2 linked regions of the Rhinolophus ferrumequinum genome follow. The protein of the gene in region 1 interacts with the protein of each later gene in a pairwise test. Links are inferred from orthologs where the notes say so. Each region holds a gene or a part of one and is shown in the gene's direction. Other genes may lie near its edges.

Evidence for each region.
Region 2: the proteins of PITX1 (region 1) and ZBTB32 interact in a two-hybrid assay, tested with the Homo sapiens proteins (2 studies listed by BioGRID). The link is inferred for Rhinolophus ferrumequinum from reciprocal best matches to the Homo sapiens genes PITX1 and ZBTB32.

What each region holds. Positions count from the first base shown.
Region 1 is NC_046307.1:10,739,899-10,751,287, reverse strand, and holds the start of PITX1 (pituitary homeobox 1), read left to right. Parts: upstream 1-6,065; 5' UTR 6,066-6,451; intron 6,452-11,389. UniProt on the Homo sapiens protein: Sequence-specific transcription factor that binds gene promoters and activates their transcription. May play a role in the development of anterior structures, and in particular, the brain and facies and in specifying the identity or structure of hindlimb.
Region 2 is NC_046298.1:36,075,123-36,086,960, forward strand, and holds the start of ZBTB32 (zinc finger and BTB domain-containing protein 32), read left to right. Parts: upstream 1-7,211; 5' UTR 7,212-7,349; intron 7,350-11,838. UniProt on the Homo sapiens protein: DNA-binding protein that binds to the to a 5'-TGTACAGTGT-3' core sequence. May function as a transcriptional transactivator and transcriptional repressor. Probably exerts its repressor effect by preventing GATA3 from binding to DNA.

The sequences.
Region 1 (11,389 bases):
CCACGGACCCTCGTGGAGAGGCTCCTTACCCTGCAGCTTGCGAACTGTGGCCAGGGAGCCCTGGGGCTCCTCGGGGTACTTGTAGGGACAGAAGGGGCTGTGAGGGGGCGGGCAGAAGAGCCCACATCGATACCCTCAAGCAGAGCAGCAGTGCATCCGTCTAGTTAGAGGACCTGGTGAAGTTCCATTTGAGAAACGTGCCCTGCTGCTAGAAGGGATCCAAGTTCTCATTTCTCCAGTGAAGAAAATAAAGCCTAGAGATACCCAGGGGCAAGGAAGCCAGCACATAGGAGCTGTGAAGCCCTTCTCGGTACCTCTTCAGGCTGCTCCTCATGACATCGGGCAAGAGGTACCTCTCCCTCAGGCAATAAGGACACCCAGACTCAGCCTGCCCTTCACTAGCTTTGTTGTTCCCCTGCCCCCATCCCAGCTCCAGGACAAACTCCTGCTATCCCCACAGTGCAGGGGAAGGTCACTTCCTCCAGGAAGCCTGCTCTGACCCCCAGGTTAGGCCTGCTGCCCCTGTTCTGTCTCCCACAGCTCCAAACCTGCCCCACTCCTAAAGATGCATCATCTTTAGATTCAGTCCCTCAGGAAGGATTGCCCTGGGACTGTCCATCATCCCTGAGTCCCCAGCACCCCCCCCCTACACACTCCCCAGTGCCAGCACACAGAGTGGGTGCTTAAAAACTGCCTGGTGGATGAAGAAATGAAGAACAGCCTCCATTGTCCTGATCTATAAAAATGAGTAAATCCCACCTTCCAAGATGAGAACAGTGAGCCACACTTACTGTGGCTGGCAGAGCTCCCACAGCAGGGTCCTTCTCCTGCTGCCCTGGGCAGGTTCTCAGGGCAGCAGCCAGGCAGCCACTACCCACCAGTTTCCTTAGACATGGCAGAGCCTCACCTCAATGACCAGAGGCCTGTGCTGGCCACGTGGGTTTCCTCACCAAGACCCCAGGGCTCCTCACCCAGCAGGTACGTCTGCCAGGCCAGCACACCTTCCCAGCACTAATATTTACTTAGGATTTACAGAGAAGGGAAAAACACAAAGTGCTTCAAAGCACTCTGCAGAGGAGAAGGGACCCCGAAACCCTGGGGACCCAGTGGGAACTCCCATAGCTGGCCCTGAGCTAACCCAGGACCTACCGAGGACTGCTCTTAATAAGCCCGTGAGGCGTGGCTGAGGCCGGGTCCGACACACTATGGGCACCTCTCTACCTCCCAGCTTTACTCGGCAGGAACTCTCGGCATCCCCCATTGAACAGCTGAGAAAATGAGGCTCACGGTGGTGAGGGGGCAGGGCTGGGATCCCCACCCAGTCTGGCTCCAGACAAGCCATGAGTGCTTAATAGAATCTGGGCCAAACGTGAGCACACAGAACATCTCATGTCCCCAAGTTCTACAGCGCTCGGCCCTGAGAGTAGGGCTGGCGTGCAGGGGAGCTGGGGGGCCAGCCTGGAGTGAGGCACTAGAGGTGCAGGTTCCCAAACCACCCTCACGACTCTGCACAAAACACACTCCCCACAGGGCAGTCGGCCGAGGAGCCCCAGAACAAACGGTAGTCACTTTGCAGCCACCAGTCTTGTGCATCCAGGATTCCTGGCTGAGCGGAAGCAGCCCCATTCCGAGGAAACATCAATATTTCATGGGCAGCTCCCTCCTGGCCTCCAATCGTGTTTTCAATTGTCACGAAACAATTCAGAATTTCCAACTCAGGGCTAATAGGCTGCCGTCAGCCGGTCAGCCCGAGCAGGCAGGAGTAATTATTTTAAAAGCTTCCGACAAGGCTGTTCGGCACGCCGCCTCCCAAACTGTGTGCGGTAGTGGCTGTGCCCCTTTGGACTCTGAGCTCCCTGTCTCCCCTCCCCTCCCCCACCCCACGCAGCAAGCAGACGTCTGGAAGGCACTGGCTGCAGAGCCTGTGAGGATGGGAGAGACAGACCAGGCTTACAGAAGGGTAAACCGAGGCCCTCTTAGGGGCACGTCTAGAAAGGCAGGGGCCACACGTCTTACTTTCGTATTTCCCACACCGACCTGTGGCCTCCTGTGCTCATGGTGGATGGATGAACTGATAAACAAAGAAAAAGATGGATGGAGTGGCTGAGTGAAGGACGTTGCAATACTCTGTTCCTCTCTTACCTCCTGAAGTCCATCCTCCACTATCCAGGTAGTGACCGTTCTAGAATCTACAGCTGACCAGACCTCTCACTGTTTCAACCCTTCATCGGTTCCTCTTTGCCTTCAGGATAATATCCCACCCTCCTAACGAGGATTATGAAGCCCTGTGGTATCTGCTACCCACTCAATTCACCAGCTTCTTCTTCCCCCATTCTCTGCCTTTCCACCTGTCCCAGTGCTATCCCACAGAGGGGTTGGTGGCGGTGGAAAGCTGTTCCAGACAAACTCAAGGCCTGTATGTCACTCAGGGCCCTTCAACACCAGGCTTCGGATTTCCTCTCCAGCACTGTGCTCCAAATACGTTTATAGGTTGGTGTGCCTGCCTCCTTGACTCAACCCAAATGAGCAGGAGCCAACCGTCTTTGTATCTCTGCCATCTCAGGCACAGAATATGTGCTCTTTAAACTTTTGCTGACCTGAAAGAGGCCAATCCAGAAAGGTCCCAAACCAGGGCTCTTTCCACTAGTCCATGCAGATGCTGATAGGTCTGCAACGAAAAAAATTACTTGAGATATCCAAATGGTTTCTATTTTTGCTCTGGCTGCCAGGAAGCTCAGAGTGCAATATAATAATGCTAAAATAAATTAATATCTTATCTGGTCATAAGGATTCTTCTCTAACTTTAGAGTCTCTAACTCGCTCCTCACAGATGACAAAGGGAACACAAATAGATGCCCCCCTCGCTCTGTGGATTCACCGCTGTATGTGAGTCAACAGACTCTGAGCCACCTCTCAGACGTTCCGGTAGCCCTCCAACCCTCCCACAGATGAGCGCAGGAACAATCCTGATGGACTTCAGACTCTCTCAACAGAGCCAATGCCTCCCCATCACATTGGAGTGGACGCCCTACTAACTCCATCAGCAGCCCGAAGAGAACCTTCACAGGGAAGGGACTTCTTTGCAAAGCAACCCATTCCCTGCCACCAGCAGCTCAGAGACCTTGTTCCAGGACAGCAACCAGTATTCCTCAGGGAGTGTGGTAAGTATTTCTTAAGATGGTGGAGCTCCCTTTTCACCCTTCTGGGGTGGAGCTTGTGACCGTAACCTGGTCATCCGCAGTCCTGAGCCACTCTTCCCCAAAAAGTGACTGGTTCAGCAGTGGGCATGTGAGCTGCACCTAACCAGTCAGCAAAACCAAATCCCTCCCCCCCCCCCAGGGAGTGTCCTATGGGTGGCAAGAGAGGCTCGGCTCTGCTCTCAAGCTTACAAAGTGGTAGGTGGATAACAGGTTTCCATCGATGATTACACAAATATTGATTTCAATACCATGGCTACAAGAGCGATGAAGGGAAAGGACACACTCCCTATTTTCACTGAATATTGAGATAAGAAACACAGCTCGAAGAATTGTTACGCCTGTCCGTGGAACTATGGCTGAGGACATTTGCCCATTATGTTTAGTACGACCCACGTGACAAATTCATCTCAGAGTTCCGTACTAGGGAGAACAACTTTTGATTAGAGGAAGCATGTCAGTTTGGAAGGAAACACAAAGCAAATGTGTCAGACAATTTTGCTGCCCTTTTTTGATTGGATACCTGGAAGCTAAAGTGATATTCAGACTGTGTTACTTCTGTTCCTGGTGGTTTCAGCTCCAACCTTCCTCTCTCTGACTGATCCCTCTTCCTTTGCCAAGATGGCGAAACCTAAAGAGAAATTGTGAAAAATTATTTTTCAAAGAAGTGAAAATAAGGTAATAAAAAACGTGTTTTGACCCACCTCAGTTCACCAAGAATTTCCAGGCCATCACGTGCTGGTCCCACCCCAACGGCTTGCCCAGCTTCCCTGGTCTGAAACTTGCTAGTAGCTAAGCAGGGGATGAGGGGTTTGTCAATTAAATCAAAGAAGGGGGCTGCTGCTGCCTTACTCAACCAACATGACCACCCTGGGGAAAGGAGGAAACAAAACTGTGAGCAAACTGTTTTAAAGAGCAAAGCAACCTGGCAGCTACCAGCATGAACATTCATCCTGGCTGCCCACCCCCACATAGGTCCGCACCCCTCACCTCCATCATCTCATAGATTTCTCTATGCCGTGGAAACTCTTATTATTCTCCCATTTCACAGATAGGGAAGCTGAGGCTGGGAGAGCTTATGTGATTTGCCCAAGGCCACAGAGCCAGTAAAAGACAGAAACAAGATTCCAACTCTGGCCATCAGGTCTCAGAGGCAGCTTTTTGGCACCACAGGCTCTGCCTGGGAACAAAAGCACGCAAAGAATCACACACACATGCCCAGTCACCACTGGGAAGACAACCAGGAAAATCACCAGTGTGCAGGGGTAAGAAGGTACAGTTTCCTAACACAAGCGCCAGAGTGAAAGCTTGATGCTTGCTGGGCCCTCCATACACAGTAAGGGTCCAGTTGCATTATGTCGGAAGAGGCCCCGGGAGCCTGGGGTGTGGAGGGGAAAGCTGCTTGAGACAAGGTCGGAAGAGTCTCAGCTTAGCAGCTCTGGGCCAGACCCGCCAACAGACCAGTTCCTCACATAAAACAGCCCTCGTAGCAGCAGGAGAAGCAGAGGCTAGAATTCCTGAAGTGCAAGCTCCAAGCTTGTGTTTCTGCCACCCCGGGACCAGGTCTGAAATCACGGGAGCCAAGGACTCAGCTCTTAACCCTTCCAGTCTTGTGTGCACCAAGCCACACACACCCACCGGAAAGGTGTTCCCACTGTTGAGAGTTGAGGGGACGCTGTGGATTACCCAAACAGCAGGGCAGGGTGCAGGGGCCAACCCTCGATCTGAGCGCCAAAGCCTCCCGAGCTTGGGTCAGGCAGGCTTCTGCTTTGGCTGTCAGGAGGGGGTCCTGGGTCATCCTGTTCCCGGGCCAGGTGGCCCTGGAGGCGCGGGTGAGCAGGGCACTGGGGCAGGCGCGGGGGCCGTGGCCTCTCACAGCAGCTGTTGGTGAGAACCAGGCAAGGAGGCGCCACCGATGACGGCACCTCATGAAACATTGATGCCCGGCCGCCGCACTGCCATCTCCCGGCACCTTGAGCCAAAGCTGCCGCCCTGGAGCACCGCAGCCTCCGGCGGGCAGGCCCCACACTCCTGAACCTGAAGGTCATCGTCCCCTGACAGTCTGACCAGCAGACCCACTGTCCCGTCCCAGGGCCCAGGCTCACACTGGGCACTTGGGGGAAGCAGGAGCCTGTTCCACCGCTTGCTTCCCCCACAAGGCTTCCCGCCGGGTTATCCGGTCATAGGCAGTCCTGGAGAACCTGGTGGCCTGGAGAGCACCCAGTCCCCCTCATTCCTGCCCAACTCCCAATGGCCACCAGCCAGGGACAGGACAACGGGGCCACATGGATTGCATCCTCTCCAGTGTGAGGGCCTGCCAGCAGGGCGACCGCTGGAGGGTGTGGAGAGGGGCTGGACGAGGGGTTACAGAAGCGTCTGTCCTTGTGGGGTCGGTCTCCCCTTTCCTCGTCAGCCCAACCCCTGAGAGGAGGATGTGGGAGGGGGGCAATCCTCCTAGCAGGGCAGGTCGGCCAGTTGCCCCTCCCCAGTCACACACACACACACACACACACACACACACACACACACACACACACACACAAACCCTGGGGTCTGTCCTCAAACCTCCTTGGCAGCCAAGCTCTGCTCCGAGGACTCTCCCTGCCAACTTGCAAGACCAGCTCCCTCCCGCAGAAAGGGGAAAAGGTCGAATCGCAAAACCCGGCTTGACCGTCACCTGGCAGGACCCTGGGAAACTCCGACCAGACCCGGACTAAACGTTGGTCGGGCTCGGCCCCTCACGTGCCAGGTGGGAAACTGAGCCCAAGGGAGAGAAAGTACGCGGGGCCTGGCCAGGACTCGCCGTGGCTTCGTCCGCATGCGGCCGGGCCCCTCCTCCATGAACGCTGTCCTGTGCTGCGTTCGCCGTCCTCGGGCCCCGGCCATCAGCCACGCCGACGACCCCTGCCTGCGCCTCGAGGGAGGCCCGGACCCCTAGCCAGCCGGACTGCGCGCCGCCCCCTCCCCGCTGGTCCAGGCAAGAGCCTCGCTTCCCCTCCCCCCTTCCCGCCTCCCAGGCCCGTGTCCCCGCCTTCCCCGCAGGCGACGGGTGGCGGCGGCAGGAGGAGCGGGCCCTGCCGAGGCAGCCCGGACCTTGCTCACTGGGATGTAGCGAACCAGCGGGGACCAAAGCTGCGCGCACAGCCGGGGACGCAGCTGGATCCGGGACCCGGCCGAAGTCGAAACCTAAGCCGGAGTCCGTGGCGAGCGAGCCCGGAGCCGACGAGCCGCACACGCAGCGCAGCCCGGGTCGGGTAAGAGTTGTTGGGCTAGGGGCGCCGGGTCTCCGCAGTGTTGGGGCGCAGGGAGGTGGTGGCCGAGTTCTGTGCTGTTTACTCCGCGAGTATGTAGGGACCAGCCAGTGGAGCGGGACTAAGCACATCGCGCGGAAGGCCAGGGTCCATCGAGGCAGCGCGAGGAGCTCGCTCCTACGCCAAGCGCACGGTCACAGCTGCCATCACCGGGCGCTACCTCACCTAACCGGTGGGCACACCCTACGCTTCAGCTCCGGGTAACCCAAAAGGGCAGCAGGCTCAGGGGCGCGGGCCCCAGCCCTGCGAAGGGCATAGCCTTGCATGTCTTTCACAGCCCCTCGTGGCGGCGCGGGCCGCAGGGTACCTCCGGGAGAAAGGGCCGGTGACAGGGCCACCCGCCGCTCCCCGTTGCGCCCGGGAAAGGGGCCCCAACACGAACGGAAGCGTTGGCCCCTCTGCACGCCGAGGGACTTCGGCCTTAGCTTCGTGTCAAGAGGGTATTTTTCCTAAACGAAACCGCTTCATTCGTTCGCTCGTTCGTTCCGGCAGCTATGCCGCAGAAAAGCCTCAGACGTGGGCCGCAGTCCCGGCGCTCTTCGCCGAGGATCCCGACGTCCCACCGCAGTGCTGGAGGCGCCCCAACCCCCGGCGGCCTGCCTCGCCGGCAAGGGTCGGGCTTTTCCTTACCCTAAGAGAAACCCCAAATGCTCTTCGCAAATCCAATAAAGACATCCCCGCGGCTTCTTCAGGGCGCAGTGGTTGACACAGGGAGCCTAAGCACGCAGCCGCTTCTCTAGACCCGGGTCCGGAATTCTGAAATTGAGCAGCCTTCTGAATCTGAGCGATTTGGGCCGCGCTAAAGCAAGGGCCCCGTGGGCGGCATCGCAGAAATGGGGATCCCAGGCTGGAATCCTTGTTCCGAGGTTTTCCGATTTAGGGATTCCCTTAATCTAAACTATCTGTGTCCACTTTTCTGAGAAACTAAGGCTCGGGTATTCTCTTGGCATTCCCAGTGGTCTCTGACAGCCACCAGGGCCAGAGGGAAGGCAACTCCAGGTTGCTGTCCACTTGGTCAAGGACACAGGTCTGGGGTGATGGCAAAAGCTACAGGCAGCAGGGGCAGCACAGGAGGGGACTTGCTGGCCCCTGCCCTTCCCTCACTGCTTTGGGACTCCTCATCTCTACTCAGAAAAGTTAAAAAGGTGGACGGGGACATGGAGACCAGGCTACCTGGATTCTAGGACACAGAGGTGGTATTTGCTGACCTTCAAGCCAGGCTCAGAGTGCCTTCCTCTCAGGAAAGCGGCTGCTGGGAAGAGGAGACCGTGGTAGCAAAAGCTGACCCTCTGCTCCCCAGGTGTGTGACAGCCCCTGCCACTTCCCTAGCCTTCTCTTCCTATCAGCTCAGCTGTTTTGGGGAACCAGATAGCGACCACTGGACTGGGGTGAGCTGTGAGCCCAGAGAGCGATGGGCCCTTACCAGCTGCTGACTGAGCGTTCTGAGTTCCGTGCTCCCATCTCCGCCCCATTTAGCCAACCTGGCTGAATACTTCTCAGCTCTTTCCCCACCAGGACAGGCTGGGGAACCCCAACTGACAGGAAGTTTCAGGCCGGGGTCCTCTGAAGCCTAAAGAATCCAGTAAGATTGTTCCCAGCCTCTACCTGAGTACCTCTTTTCCCCTCACCCAGTAATTGCTTCTATTCAAAGAAACAAAAGCTTTTTTATTGGGGAGGGGGTCTTAAAACCAGGCGGAAGGCAGTAGGTGGTCCCGTCTGCACTCCCAAAACTGGGTTTTCTAGTTTGAAGTTCCCCACGGCCTAAGAGGCTTAGGGCTGGAATGTCCCAGAGTCACGGATGGCCCCAGCGGGCGTGGGGGGTGGGGGGCAAGCCATGGCACATTCCTTCCCTTTTCCTAAAATCCCTTGATTCTGGCGCAGAGATTAGGGCGGAGTACCCTCATGAGTGGGTGGAAGGATGCCCTCCATGAGGACCCTCCAACCACCCTTCCCAAATAAAATGACGAAAGCATTCTTGGACACAGAGTCTGTTTTGAGTGAGACCAGCCTCAGGAAGGGTCCCTGTGGTGACGCTTCAACCCCCACTACAGCCCAGGCTCCTCTCTGATCAGCCCAGCCGGGACTCTAAGCCCCAAATTTCCTGAGAGTCACAAAATCATCGCTAACTCTGTGTGGCCTGGAGCCACGGAGACTGGGGCACATGGTTCCAGCCCCAGTAAGCCCCCTTCCCTCCTCTCCACATGTCCCATCGTCAAGCGGGCTGGAGGCTGAAGCAGAAGGCAGGGATTGCTGTGTCCCATGTGAGACAGGGGAACTGAGGCACAGTGCAGGTCAAACCTTGCCCAAGGTCACACAGCAAAGCCAGGGGAATACTGGACCCCTACATTTACTCCTGAAAGAGAGCTGCCTCCTGTTCTGTGTGTTGGTGTGACTTATCTGTGAGAGTGCAAGAAGCCCCTACACTACCTGGGATGGTGGCCAGTGGAGGGTGTGGCTGGGGAAGCAGAGAGAGAGTGCCCTGGTCCCTTCTCCAGCCAACACCCAGGATCAGGCCAGGGCCTCCTTTTTATCCATCACTTCCTCGCCGTGCCCCCACCCCATTCCGCACTACCTGTCCAGCAGAACAGACTCCCCAGGGAAGTTCCCAATAGTGTCAGCCCCTCTCTAGGGCTCAGGGCCCCTGGAGATATGGAGCTTCACCTACAATAGCCTGAGGGCCTTTCCATCCACACAGCAGGCATCAAGACTTCCAAATATAGGGAGTATTGTGACTGCCTGGGTCATTATCAGAGGCTTGGGGCCAGAGGGGAACACAGCAGGTGCTCAATCACTGCATCAAATGGATCAATGATGAGGGATGCAAGCCCCTCAGACTGAATAGCTAGACCTGCAGAGTCATAAAAGAGTCCCCGTCCATGGAAGTCCTGACCCTTTAGAGCCTCTGAGGAGTGAAGAGCTGTGATCCTCAGCCTCTGGGTGCCCACAGGCGTACCATTCATTCCATGTCCTGGGACCCAGTGTCCTGGGACCCAGAGTCCCTGGCCTGACACTTGGCGGGCTTAGAACACATCTCCTATGCCCTACCAGCCAGATTTTGTGCCAAACATCACCAGTGTCCCGGGATCCAGAGTCCTGGCTGTGTGTACATATGTGACTGTCCTCAGCACTCCCTCGTATGGGTGCAGTATGTGTGTCGCTGTGTACACAGCACACCTGTGTGGGTATGCAGTCTGTGGATGTGTGCGCATGCTCCCATGTCCTGTCTGTACCCAACAAGCTGGGTGGCACGCTGTCCTGTGGGCATAAGGGAGCCATATGAATGGTAGTGTGTGGACGGGCACTCCTTGGTGTTCTGCAGCACTTGGATACCTCCTTGAAAGGAGACATCTGCTGCTTCAGGAGACTCAGTCAAAAAAAATTGTGGTAAGGATGGGGCTGATAGCAAATGCTGGGCCACCATACTTCACACACACACCAAGACTATTTTCTTCCTGGGGGGGTCTCAGTTTAAGAGAAACTTCCCTTTGGGAGGAAAGGGCAGGAGTCACTGAGCTTCCTCCAGCCAAAGTCATGGCTGCAGCCTCAGCCTCAGCCTCAGCCCCTGCCCTCTGTGCTCACAGGCACCAAGTGAGAGTGGGCCAGGCCCAGAGGGTGGGCCTTGGGCAGAGGCAGAGGCAGTGAGAGACAGGTCTGGTTCCAGCCTGCGCCTGCCCCTGCCCCCCAGTCCTCACCGAGGAGCTCAGCCTGAGGCCTCCCTCTGATGGGGAGCCCGGGTGAGGGCTCAAGGCAGAGCATCCCGATGCTGACAGCCCGCATGCTCAGTCCCAAGCAGAGACCTCCAGGAAGAGACGAGGATGCACTGGGCCCTGGGGGAGGCCCTGGGCCTGGAGAGTAGGGCAGTGCTGCTCCTATCTGGTGGAACTGGTCAGCAGGTGAGGAGCAGAGGGCAGTCGGGTCCAGCAGTGGGCAGAGGAACAGTTCAGGGTCGCACCCTACCACCCCAGCCTTCACCTATTTGCTTAAGACTTTGAGGTCTCAGGGCCAGTTAACAATTGTTGAGCAAAATCCTTCAACAAACTTAACTGAAGTAAGAGGACTGGAGGGGATCATTCTTAGGGGTGGGGAGGGGAATGTCTTTGCCTGTGCCCAGGAGAGAAGCTCCACCGTAGGCTTCCTGGGCGGCAGGCCCAGGGTTGGGAAATTGCAGTCACCTGGCCTGCCAGGCCTGTGCCTGCTGCTCTGGGAAGCCCAAGTGGAGGCCCCAGGCCGCTACAAACCTGCCCTGAAGGGGGCAGAGGCCCACCCGGTGGCTGCCAAGGCACTGGCCTGGCCCATTTGGCCACTTAAAGGTACAAAACAAGAGAAGAGAGCCTTACAGAAAAGGCTGCGGGGCCTGGCGGGGCTCTTGGGGTCTCCTGCTGCACTCGCCAGAGGCCTGGAGCCAACAGAAACGTTTCATCTGATTAGAAGCCATCAGTTCTATCCCAATCCCGGAAAATTGACTGCGGTGCAGAGGCGGGGGCCTGAGAAGCAGCCTTGGGGGAGAGGGTCCAAGCTAATTAGGAGGCAGCATCCGGGGGCCCATTAGAGCACAGGCTGCTGTCACTCAGCCGGGCTCAGGTCCCGAGAGAAGTGGCCGAGGAAGGAGGGGCCAGCGGCCCCTCAACGAGGACGCAGCTAGGAGCTGGCAGTACGCCCCGGGCTCTGCCCCTGCCCTGGCGCTGGCTCGGAGGTGCCCGCTCGGTATGATCCTGCTCTGTGAGATCCTACTCCGTGAACATTCACTCATTCTGGGCTGTTCTCGCAGGGGGCTGGGGACTTCGAGGCGGCCCAGACAGGAGTTGATCCTGAGCGAAACAAGTCATTTGGGGCTTGAGGTGGGCACGAGCCGCGCGGGACTTGCAGGCCAGACGCGTTTCT
Region 2 (11,838 bases), on another chromosome or scaffold:
TCTGGCCCAGGGTATCTCAGCTAGCTTTTGTTAACACCAAAATAATGGCTTACAATATTTTTTAGCTCCTTATTCTGTGGAACCATTTGGGCTCAGCTGAGCTGGGCAGTTCTTCTGTTACTCTCACCTGGGCTTACTCACACTGCTGCAGAGGGGTGGCTGGGGGCCAGTTGATCTAGGGTGCTCCTTCACATGTATGGCTGGCTGGCAGTTAGTGTAGGTGGCTGGGGTGTTGGCTTTGATTGGGCCATGTGTCTACAGGGAGCCTACCCAAGCTTATTCACATGCTGGTGTTTGCCGGGTTCCCAAGAGCAGTAAGAGAGGACAAGTCCCAAAGTGTACAAGCAATTTTTAAGTCTCTGCTTTTGTCACATTTGCTATTGTCCCATTGGTCAAAACAAGTCAATGGCTAGGGCCAGGGTCAGTGTATGAGGTGTGCAAAAGGGAGAATTATGGAGGCCATTTTAACAAATCATCTACCACAGGGGATCCAGGATGGTAAAAAGACACCAGCAGTCCCCAGCAGAAGTAGTTAAATGCTCCTATTTGAGAGTGTTCCATAGTTGTGATCTCCTCATGTGGCCTGCAGTTCCCAGGACAAAGCCAGATGGGAAGCAGTTGGTGCTAACAACAGCCTGGACTTTGAGCCTTTCCTCCGGTCACCAAAGAGCTGTCCTAAGAATAGGTGCCTTTTTCCAAATGTCAAGAATCACAGAAGATTAAGGGAACAGTGCTTTAAGTAAATTCATGTTTCAAAAACCAAGTAGGAGGGGGGGAGGGGGAGGGGATTGGAGGGCAGTTGGTGACCACAAAATGGCCATGGGTTTGAAAATTAATCTGGGGAACGTAATTTGGTGGTTACCAGAGGGTAAGGGGGTTGGGGGGTGGGGGATGAGGGTGAGGGGGATCAAATGTATGGTGATGGAAGGGGAGCTGACTCTGGGTGGTGAACACACAGTATGATTTATGGATGATGTGATACAGAATTGCACACCTGAAATCTATGTAATTTTACTAACAAGTGTAACCCCAATAAATTAAAAAATAAAATAAAGAAAAAAAGAAAAAAAAAAACCAAGTAGGAGACATTAAAGACATGAAGAATTGCTTAGATGCCTCTTAGATGTCTTCTCAGTTGCCATGGGCACTGGAATGGAAAGAAATAAAGTAGAAAAGGTAAAAGGTTAAGAAAATTCTGTTTTTGGAGTTCTACTTCAGTACTGTTGGACACATAATTAAAGGAATGTCCCTAGTGTTCAAGTTCTTCTTGCTATACCAAAAGAACACCTAAGATCAAATTGCCAAGGATGACCCATCTCACCACTTCTTTTCAACACCATTCTGGAAGTCCTAGCTAATGCAATAAGGGAAGAAAAGGAAATTAAAGGTATACCGATAGAGAAGGAAGGAATAAAACTCTTTTTTATAGATGACATAATTGTCCATGTAGAAAATCCAAAAGAATCAATAAAAAGAAAAAACTCCTGGAACTAATAAGCAATTATAGCAAGATTTCAGGACACAAAGTTAATATACAACAGATCAAACTGCAAGTCCAAACATTGTATCTATTGATCGTATTATAGCCTAATAATAAAGTACCTTTATTATGTTTCCCCTTCTTAAGAGATTTTTGCCCTAATAGCTTTCATTAAGTAGAATGTGTTTATGGAGAAAAACAATTTTTTTAAATGAAGGAGTATTGATGAAATCAGGCAGAATGTTGAGAACTGAAGCAACTAGATGATAGGTACATAGAGGTTCATTAAACTGTTCTCTGTAAAAAAAAAAAATAAACACTTCTTTCTGTGACTTTGCATGGCTCAGAGGAGAATGCCAGCAGTCCTGAGCATGGCCTATAAGCCAGGTCCTGCCAACCACCAGCAGCTCTGCCCTGCTTCCACTTGTTTTGCTCTGTCTGTTCCATTGACATTGAAACTCCAGGCCATGCTTCCTCCTGCCCTAGAGCTCTAGGACCTGCTTTTCTACTACCCGGAAGGCTCTCCAATCCCTAGTCTGGTTAGTGAGTATTAATCCTTCAGAGCTGAAGTGTAAGCATCACTGCTTTCAGGAAATCGTCCTTGAAAACCCTGGCTAGGTCAGAGTCCTGTTTTACTTTCTTAAAGTATCTATCTTGTGGTTTTTCTTCATACTACTTAGTGCAGTTTTAATTTTACTTGCAATTAATAACAATAGCCAACATTTAATGATCACTGTGCTGGGGCTTTTCTAAGAACTTCGTGGGTGACTGCTCATTTGATTCTCTCAAGGCACAGAAAGTTAAAGAAAGTTGCTCAGAGTCACACAGTTGGTCAGTGGTACAGGTATGACCTAAACCCTGTCAGATCTGACATCTTAACCATTCTGCTCTGCTCTCTCCCTCTGAAGTAAATGATATGCGTCTCCCCAACAGACTGTGAGCCCCTCAATGGTAGATTTTCACTGTTATGGACTGAATTGTGCCCCCCCCATTAATATATTGAAGTTCTAACCTTCAATGTGACTGTATCTGGAGACAGGGCCATTAAGGAAGAAATTAAAGTTGAATGAAGTCATAAGGGTAGGGTCCTAATCCAGGAAGACTGGTGTCCTCATGTCTTAGTCTGTTTGGCCTGCCATAATAGACCACCATAGACTTGGTGTCTTATGAACAACAGAAATTTATTGCACACAGTGCTGAAGGCTGAGAAATCCAAGATCAAGGCTCTAGCAGATATGGGATCTGGTGAGGGCCTGCTTTCTGGTTCATCGATGGCTGTCTTCTCTCTGTAACATCGCATGGTATAAGGGGTAAGGGAGTTGTCTGGGGCTTCTTTTCTAAGGGCACTAATCCCATTCATGAGGGCTCCACCCTTGTGACCTAATCACCACCCAAAGGTCCTATCTCCTAATACCATCACATTGGGGGTGTGGAGGATCACACCCCCACACATCACATTGGAGGATCTCAACATATGGATGTTTTTGGAGGCAGGAACAAACATTCAGTATGTAGCACTCTATAAAAAGAACAAGAGACACCAGGAGCTGCATGCGCAGAGGAAAGGCCATGTGAGGACACGGTGAGAAGGCAGCCATCTGCAAGCCAAGGAGAGGGGCCTCAGGAGAAATCGACCCCACCAGCACTTTCATCTTGGACTTCCAGTCTCCAGAACTGTGAGAAAGTAATTTCTGTTGTTAAAATCACCCCGTCAGCAGTGTTTTGTTCTGTCAGCCACAGTGGACTAATGGTCTCTTCTTGTTTGCCATTATATACTCTGTACCAAGGAACATGTGTAGCACATAGTAAGTACTCCAAAAATAGAGAAAGTCTTCTCTTACCCTTTTCCCTTCCTCGCCCCGCCTTAAGTGTCCTTTCTGGGTTTCAGTTGCTATACTTTACACTTGGTTCTGGAAGGATATAATTTCTTTCTAGAAGGTTAAATCTTTGAATTTAAAGATTTCAAAGGGGCTAGTCTTCTCCAGGGCTCAGCACAGATGGCATATGCTGACAAAGTTTAATAAATATTTGAGTAAATGCAAGTCTCCTGACTCTTACACATGAACCCTGAATGCAGAGCAATAAGCCCTGAGTTCTAAGTTTTATGAGCCTCAAAAGTAATCATGGCCTTGGGTTTATCCAGAGATCAAAGCTTGGAGAAAGTCCTTTATGCTCTGAAAAGTTATAGGATCATTTTTATGTCTGTTATGAACACTTGTGCAGTTGAGGTGAGCTCCTGAACCTTAGTCATCTGCTTGGCTCCAGCCAGACTTCTTGCTGTTCCTCAAACATGTTCCTCACTTCTGTCTCAGGGCCTTTGCACTTGCTATACCTCTTTTGGGAGCACACTTGTCCCACGGCAAATATCTAGCCTAATTTTCAGTGCCTACATGAGAGTCAAGGCAGGTGATGGTGACTCTGAGGAAGCAACTCAGTTTTAGGGCTTTGGGGAAGAGAAGAGTAACGCATTCTGGGTTCCCATCCGGGTTCTACTGTTCTATTAATTTATTTAACCCTCTCAACAGTCCTGACAGGGATTTACTATCATTATCCCCATTTTACAGATGAGAAAATTGAGGCCAAGAGAGATTAAGTAACTTGCCAAAGGTCTCACAACTAGTAAATAGCAGGGCCAGGATATGAACCCAGGCAATTTAGATCCAGTGTCCAGCTTCTTAGCCACAAGGATCTCTGCTACTTGATGTATATTAAAACTTAGTTAACATAGGGTCTGGCACGGGGTAGTTGCTCAGTAAGTTATAGTTATTTCTCTAGTCTTCTCAGACATTTGATTCTCCTAATCCAACCCCCAGAATGAAGCCAACAACCCTTCCTACTCCACCTTGCCAGAGCTCAGGGTCCCTTACTCCATCTTCTCATGCCTGCACATGCTGGGTAGCTGGATTTCAGGGCTCTAGAGTAAGGCTCTCTGGGTTCCCATCCAGTTTCCACCATTTACTAGCTCTGTACACAAAGGAATATTCCATCCCTCCCTGGGTCTCAGTTTCCTCATGTGTAAAATGGGGACAATAACAATACCTATGTCCTAGAATTATTACAGAGATTCAGTGAGATGATGCATAGATGACGCAGAATGCTTTCCACCTTGCCTCGCCCATAAAAAGTGTTCCATAAATGGCAGCAATTATGACTAGGGCTTCTCAATGAGAAGCCTCCAATGGTCCTGAGGCTGTGAAATACACTCGCAACCACCTTTAAGGCCAACGTTAGGACCAGATGAATTCATTGTTTACAGACAAGGCTGGCTGGGTGAGAGAACCCCTCACCGGATCCAACCCAGGATCTACTAGACAAGTACTTCCTAGCGGCAGTCTAGTTCAAGGGATAATCTCTTGGGTCTGATAGACCTGGGTCTGAATTCCAGCTTTGATTTCTCCTAGGGTCTCACTTTCTTCATCTGTTAAATAGGAAAGGAGCAGTGTGGGGAGTAATTAAGAATGTGGGTTTGAATTAGAAGGTTATATATTATTCTATTCCTTGCTCTGCCAAGGACTAGCTATGTGACTGAGTGTCTTCAGCTCCATGCACCTTGGTTGTCTGTTCTAATGGGTTTTGTCATTATTCCTCTTCCTAGGGCAGCTGAGGATTCCCTAGGACCATGTGTGCAGACTCTGTGGACACTGTAGCTGTTAGGATGGGAGACAGTGTACCCAATGGTTAGGAGCTTAGATTCTGGAGTCAGACTGCAACAGGCCTAGTTCAAATCTGCTCTTGCAATTATTTCTGGTGAAATCTTAGGGAAATCAATTATCTTCTTTCAGTTTCAATTTGCTTATCTGTGAAGTGAGAATAAAAACAGTAAGTATCGCATAGAGCTTGTTATGAGAATTCAATCAAATGATGCATGCAAAGCACTTCAAACTGGCCTGGTTCGGTAAAAGTGGCAAAGATACCCATCATGAAGGTGATTTTTAAAATATCCTTTTCTAGAATGCAAATGCATTTGCCAAACTGAGGAACTGCAAATATGCGCTAAGTGCTGGAGCCTTCAGGATCAGATTTAAGTCCAAAACAAAAATCAAAAACCCCCCAAAAACCCTCATTTGTAGATGAAGTAATCCAGGGCCAACGTGACCACATCAGACACCATCCCACATCTACAAGATCAACCCTACTTAACTGTAGGCTACCTTGAATGCTGGACTCACCAGAACAAGGTCGGAGTCCCAGCAACGCCCATATTCACCGCGGGACCTGAGACGAGTGACTTTGCCGCGGACCTCTGAGGATAACCCAGCATAGTAATCAGCTCCCTCACAGGGTTACTTAGCAAAAGTCAATAAGATGACGCACAAAGCGTGCGTGGTACACGGAAAGGGCTCAGTAAGCGGAAGCTGCTGTTGCTACAGCTACAGCGCCTGTTTTTCCCCTACTTTTTAAGGGGTTTGCTCCCGCGGACCGGACACTCGCCTTAGGCAGTCTCCCTCCCGTTTCAGCTCCATCTATTCGTCCCAGGCTCCTCTGCGTCACGACCTCTCCAAGAGGGTTCTCCTGGGCCAACCCCCACCTTCGCCTCCCAACCTATAGGTCCTCAGCGAGTCGCAAGGAAGGAAGAGACAGACAACACTCCGCAGAGCCCGGGAGCTGAACAGAAGCGCAGGGACAGAACCCTAACCGCTTGAAACCGTTGGGTTGGGCTCCCGCCTCCCGGCCCTCTGATCAATTAAAAGCGAAGCTGCAAGCCTCGGGACCAATCAGAAGTGGAAGCGGTTACGCTATGCCCGCCTTCTTAAAGCGCCATTGCTCCTCATTGGATACGTCCAAGCGCGAACACAAGGCTAAGCTGCTGAGAAGAGTGGGGCCAGCCAATCAGCGGTGCAACCGCAGTCGGGCTGGTGGGAGGAGAGGCAGGTGGCCCTCGTAGATTCGCGCGGTGCGAGCTCGCGGTGTGTCAGCCCAAATTCCTGCCTAGGCAAAAAGCCTGCTGGCCGGGATCTAAGCCCAGGCCAACTAATGGCGGGGCAGCGCAATAGGCCATTTTCTATACAGCGTAGTGGGGGTCTGGTACACGAAGTACTCAGTTGATCCTGGCTCAACTGACAGTCGAGGTGTCAATGAGCATTTGAAGCGCGAATATCTGGACCATTCCTGGGTCAAGGCACTGCCCCCTCTTGCGTCTTTCCTGTCCCCGAATACTTCCGGGTAAGGCAGGGTGCGTTCTGCAACCAATCAGTGGTGGGGCAGGGCAGGAGGTGAGAAAGGCGAGCTGCCCTGAGGCACATGAAGCCTGGTGGCTCTTGAGGGCCTTTCAGCTAATCACGCACATCTCCACAGATATGTAAGGGGTTGAGAGAAAGGTGAAAGGGTTTGCAACGAGAGCTACTCAAAGGCAAGAAATTGGTGGTATCCCTGAGCTCTTGTCGGGGGAGCCTCCAAGGCTATTCAGGTGGAGGAGGTTCGAGTCTCAGTCTCATCATAGAAAGGGTGAGAGAAGGCAAACTGCGCAGCCAATCAGCATTGGAGTTAGGTTGGAGTACGAGGTGTCAGTTAGAGGCCTCCAGCATCAGTCCACAGACCAATCAGACTCAAGGCCCTGCCCCGCCACAGCACAAGGGCAGGCGCGAGTTCCTCAACCAATCATCGGTGGGCGCGAGGCAGTGGAGCTGTCCTAGGTGCCTCTCAGTCAGTTGAGCACGCTCACCAGGCAGGAGCCAGGAAAGAGTGTGCCGCCAGCGCCGCAGCCAATCGGTATCTGCCTTGGGATCCAGGCGCGAAAAGCGAGCTGTGCACGCGCCTGGGCATCGCGTTCCTGGCCTAGCGCCGCTCCCCATTTTCTAACCGCCACTTGGGCTTGTGCCGCCCTTAGTGTATGTGAGGCTGAGTGGGGAGAGGAACACGGTCTGAGTTGGTGAGTGCCGTGGTTTTTCTTACTCTTCTTCAGGCTTGGGCCTGGCCCAAGCAAAGCTGGGGTATGGGGGGCTTGACTGGTGGCTGTGAGGGTTGGGAAATGAGGGCTGAGAGCTTTAGACCCTTGGGAACTCTCTCTGCCCTGGAAAGGCTGGAAATGGGGCCTCCTGAACAACTTTGGGCCCAGGCTGGGCAGAGGCCTGGCCAGCATGTCCTATGAGTTGGTACATGGTCCCTAAGCCAGCCTGAGTTGGAAGTGTGTTGTAGGGCAGTTGGAAGCCCTTGGAGCCCTGCGTGGGGTCATTGGCAATGAGGTATGGCCTCTGAACTGTGAGAGGTTGTCTGGGATCTCTGGACTAAGCCTAGATCTGGCGACTGGAAGGAGAGACTTGTGATTCTTCAGAGGTTATTGGGAATTACTGGCCAAGAGATTAAACTAGTGGGCATTTGAGAGGTTTCTGGCATCTTTGAATGCAACCTGGGCTGAGAGTGAGCACTGATGAGGTCAAAAGCCCAAAGAGAAGTTGTCAAGGGTCATTGCATCCAGGCTGTGCTGGGAACATGAGGCTGCAAGGCTTTTAGGGGTCTTTGGACTCTGAGTTGAGGTGCTCTTGGCAGATTTTCCAGTATTGGGTCCAGGTTGTACCATGTGGCCCGAAGGTTAGTCTCGTGGTCTTCTGAAGATTCTAGGGCGTGGGGAGTCTCCAAACCCCAGCCAAGTTGTTTGCCTTCCATGAAGTATTATTGCCTTGTGGTGGCTCTAGATAGAACCAGGATTGGGTCATGTCTGGGGCCTTTCAGTTCCTGTCCTCACCTCTTTCCCACACCCTTTCTGGTCACTCTCAGAAGACATCAGGCTATAAGCAGGGGGCAGGTGCATGAGTAAGATGGATATCATACCTGAGCACAGGAAGAGATGTGTGAGATATCCTACTGTTAAGGAAACCACCCATGTTGTCTTTACCAAAGATCTTTTTATACTTACGGGGCAGGGTGTTGAAATCTATATTCACTCAGCCTTTCCCGCTCTACGTGTTATTAAAGCTTTCAGAGTGCTTTCATGTATACTTGGAGTTCTTAAACCAAGAGTGGGGAATGCAAAAGGGTGGTCTACAAGTGGATTTCAAAGGTCTGTGAACTCTTGGAAATCATAAAATTTCATGCATGTTGGATTTGGGGAGTACGGGGCAAAAGCAGTCAAAGGACAATCCAGGAGTATTTGACCTGTTCAATAACGGGCTTCAGAGCAGTCTGTGAATCCCCTGTCATTCATATGCAAAATGTCATAAAAGTCTACAATTTTCCGATGTAAGGAGTTAATTCCATGGCTTACATTTTCAAAGGAATGGTGACCCCCTAAGATGTTAAGAAGTATTGAAATAAAGCAGGCTCCCATATTATTTATGGGGCCTGGGCATGACTAGAAATGGAGATTCACCTTTTTCTTCCCACCCCTGGTGTTGATGCACACTTCAAAGTATCTCACATATTAGCTGGCATGTCCAACCTGTTTCCATGCCCCTAACACACAGTCAGGGCCTAGGCTGTTACATGAGTCCCACAGCCCACTGTCATGAATATAGATCTGGGGTTGAGGACCATGTAGATCCTGGAAGTGGGCCATTTGGGCTGGGAGGTCCAGAGTTCTGAGTTCCCAGAGCATGGTCTGCAATTGGGCGGCTCAGGTTCCAGGTGGGTACTTCCTAGATGACCTTGCACTCCTCAGCCCACGGGAAGGGACACAGCCAGAGGATGTCAGAGTCAGGCCCTCTTCCTGGGTTTAAGGCAGTACTGGTATTCAGTACTTGTCTTGAAAACAGGCCCTGTGAGGAAGTTGAGGAAGAGTTAGCCCCATATTAGGGCTGAAGAAAAAGGCCCTTCACTGTGAGGATGTAGTGAAACCTAAGTTTTTCGACTTCTAGTCGTTATTTTTCCACTTACTCCACAAAAGGTGTGTTATGATGGGGTCTCTATGACCAGATTCAGCTCATCTCGCTGTATCTGGTTTTGGGTTATGCAGAACATAGATTTAAATGAAGAAGGAAATGAATTCCCTCTGTGATGTCTCTTCTCTGGTATGTTTTGGATGTATTATACTTAACCAGAAAGAGTGAACATTTGAAAGTTTATGTATGATTTGGATAACGGGTCTTATTCTTTAGAAAATGCTATGTGTGTGTGAGTGTGTGTGGGGGGTTAACCACCTTAATTTGCATAAAGAGAGGTGTTCCTGGGAAGAGTGAAAAGTTCATAGAATTTTTCTAAATTGAGTCTTGCTTAACTTGACTTTGGAGATACTCAATAGTTAAAATAAGTGAGATAAAGGGAGAATATTTTTCATAAAACAAATAACCATTCCTCTAATTGGCCTATTCTGATGGTTTAATTTTAATTATACTTGAAGAGAATCCATACTTGTATTGCTGTGTTGATATTTTCATATCAAGCTGGGTTGTGTCTGTAGGGGCTCTTGGTCAAGCTTATCAGTAAGAATAAAAATTACCAGATTTCAAATTTATTTAGTATTATAAAGGACTGAGAGGCAAAAGTCATACCTCCTTTTCCCACATATTTCTCTTCCAATGATGTCCTATCTAATTTCTCCTATGCACTCTACCCTCTCCCAAGATGCTGGCTTGCATCCTCATAACCTGCAGTTTTCTGGCTCTGCCTGTACTGAGTCAGCCTGGGAAGTGGAAGGTGGACAAGGTTTCTGAGACTGGCGAGGGCAGACCTTTCAAGAATAGAAACAGCGATGCCCCTGTCCTTCCAAATCAAAGAGCTATTTGCATCGGCTGTCAGTGCTCACTCAGAGCAAGCAGATGACTTGGGCTGTGCAGTCAAGAACGCAGGGAGAGAGAAGAGCCTAGAGAGTCACCAACCTAAAGGCTGAGGTGTAGAGGGCCCTAGAGATACCTCTAAGGAGGCGACCTCTAAAGGGATATCCTTAGGTGAGGTAAACACCAAGTGGGAGGCAAGATGGGGTTTCCCATTCTTGGGGGCTTTTGTTCACTGAATGGGGAGTCCCCTTGCTCCTTTCGATCCCTTTTAGATTTCCTAAAAGCCCATTGACACTTCCTGTCAACTACATTTGGCTTACAGAAGATGCTGCCCTTTGAGCACAGTCTGCAACTCTCTTGGTCATCAATGAGCAAATCACACCTGTGGGGGCGCTGAGTCACAGAAACATGATATAGGGCTGGGCGGTAAGGGGGACTACACTCCACTAGATGGTGATGTCATATTCCAGACCCCTGTACCTTTCCCTCTACACTTGGGGATGTCTCCCTCGTGGCTTTCCCCACATATTCCATATCTTCAGGGATTGTGTATTACTGTGTTGGAGGATGTTTCCCTCTGTATACATATCAGGGATTGGTGCTTTTATGTGTCCAGGCCAAGTGACTTTTATATGCGTGTCTAATGCGTCCCTGGGTGTGGTGGTGTGAGGAGTTAGAACGCTAAGAAATGGAAAACATTTCAGAGTAGCAAATGAATACAACTTGCTCATTTGCATTTTCCCTTTCACTCTGACTCATCTTCCCCTCTCCCCACCCTATTATTGCCCCTCCACCAGCCCCACCCATTGGCACACCCTGTCTGACCTAGGAAGGGGTAACATCTGCCTGCACCCAAGCTAGAATGAAAGGTAAAGGGAAGGCATGCTGGGTCTGAAGAGAGAGAGACTAGAAGGCTGAACATTTGGGGGTTCTGGAGCCAAAGAAAAAAACATGGGTTTAGAGACATAATATTTGAGTCTAGGAGGGGACCACGATCTAAACAAGAAGCCTGGGGGGAACCAGACTATGTCCTGTCGCCAGAGCAGCCTACCAATGCCTGACTTGTTTATCTTCGTTACTTATTGGGCATATATGATATGCCAGGCACATATCATAAGTGATTTATCACTTGTTGAATTAATGAAAATTTGCCACAGGATGAGGGATAATGGAATAAGAAACAGAAAAAGAAATTTGAGTTTGTCAGACCTCATCCTTTCCCCCGGTTTAAGTGCTAAAGTGTGAAAAGAGGGGAAATTTCCGAGGACCTTGACCCTTTGGGCAGGAAGTGAAAGAAACCCCGGAGTCCTGATTTCAGAGAAATGTCATTTGTCATCAACCCAAGAAAAGGAGTTTTTCTTTTCGAAGACCACCGCAGGCCCTTCCTGGGGTTGCCCCCTCCAGAGCTTGATGGGAGGATCTGAGTCACTCACACACCCAGTCCCCAGTGGTGACCCAGATGCCAGTGGTCATTCCCACATAGCAGTCAAGGCTTCCTAGTACCAAGTTAGACATGCTTTTGGCCCTCTTTTACTCTGTCCTTGGAATTCAGATGTTTCAGTCATTTTCATTTCTGATAGTAGAAACAGCTTCCAGCTGCTAGAGCTCTACTGACACCTCTAAGAAACAGAACTAATAATATTTGAATGATACTATGTACTGAAAAACCACTGTCATATTTATCATTTCATTTTCAACTATACCTCCAAA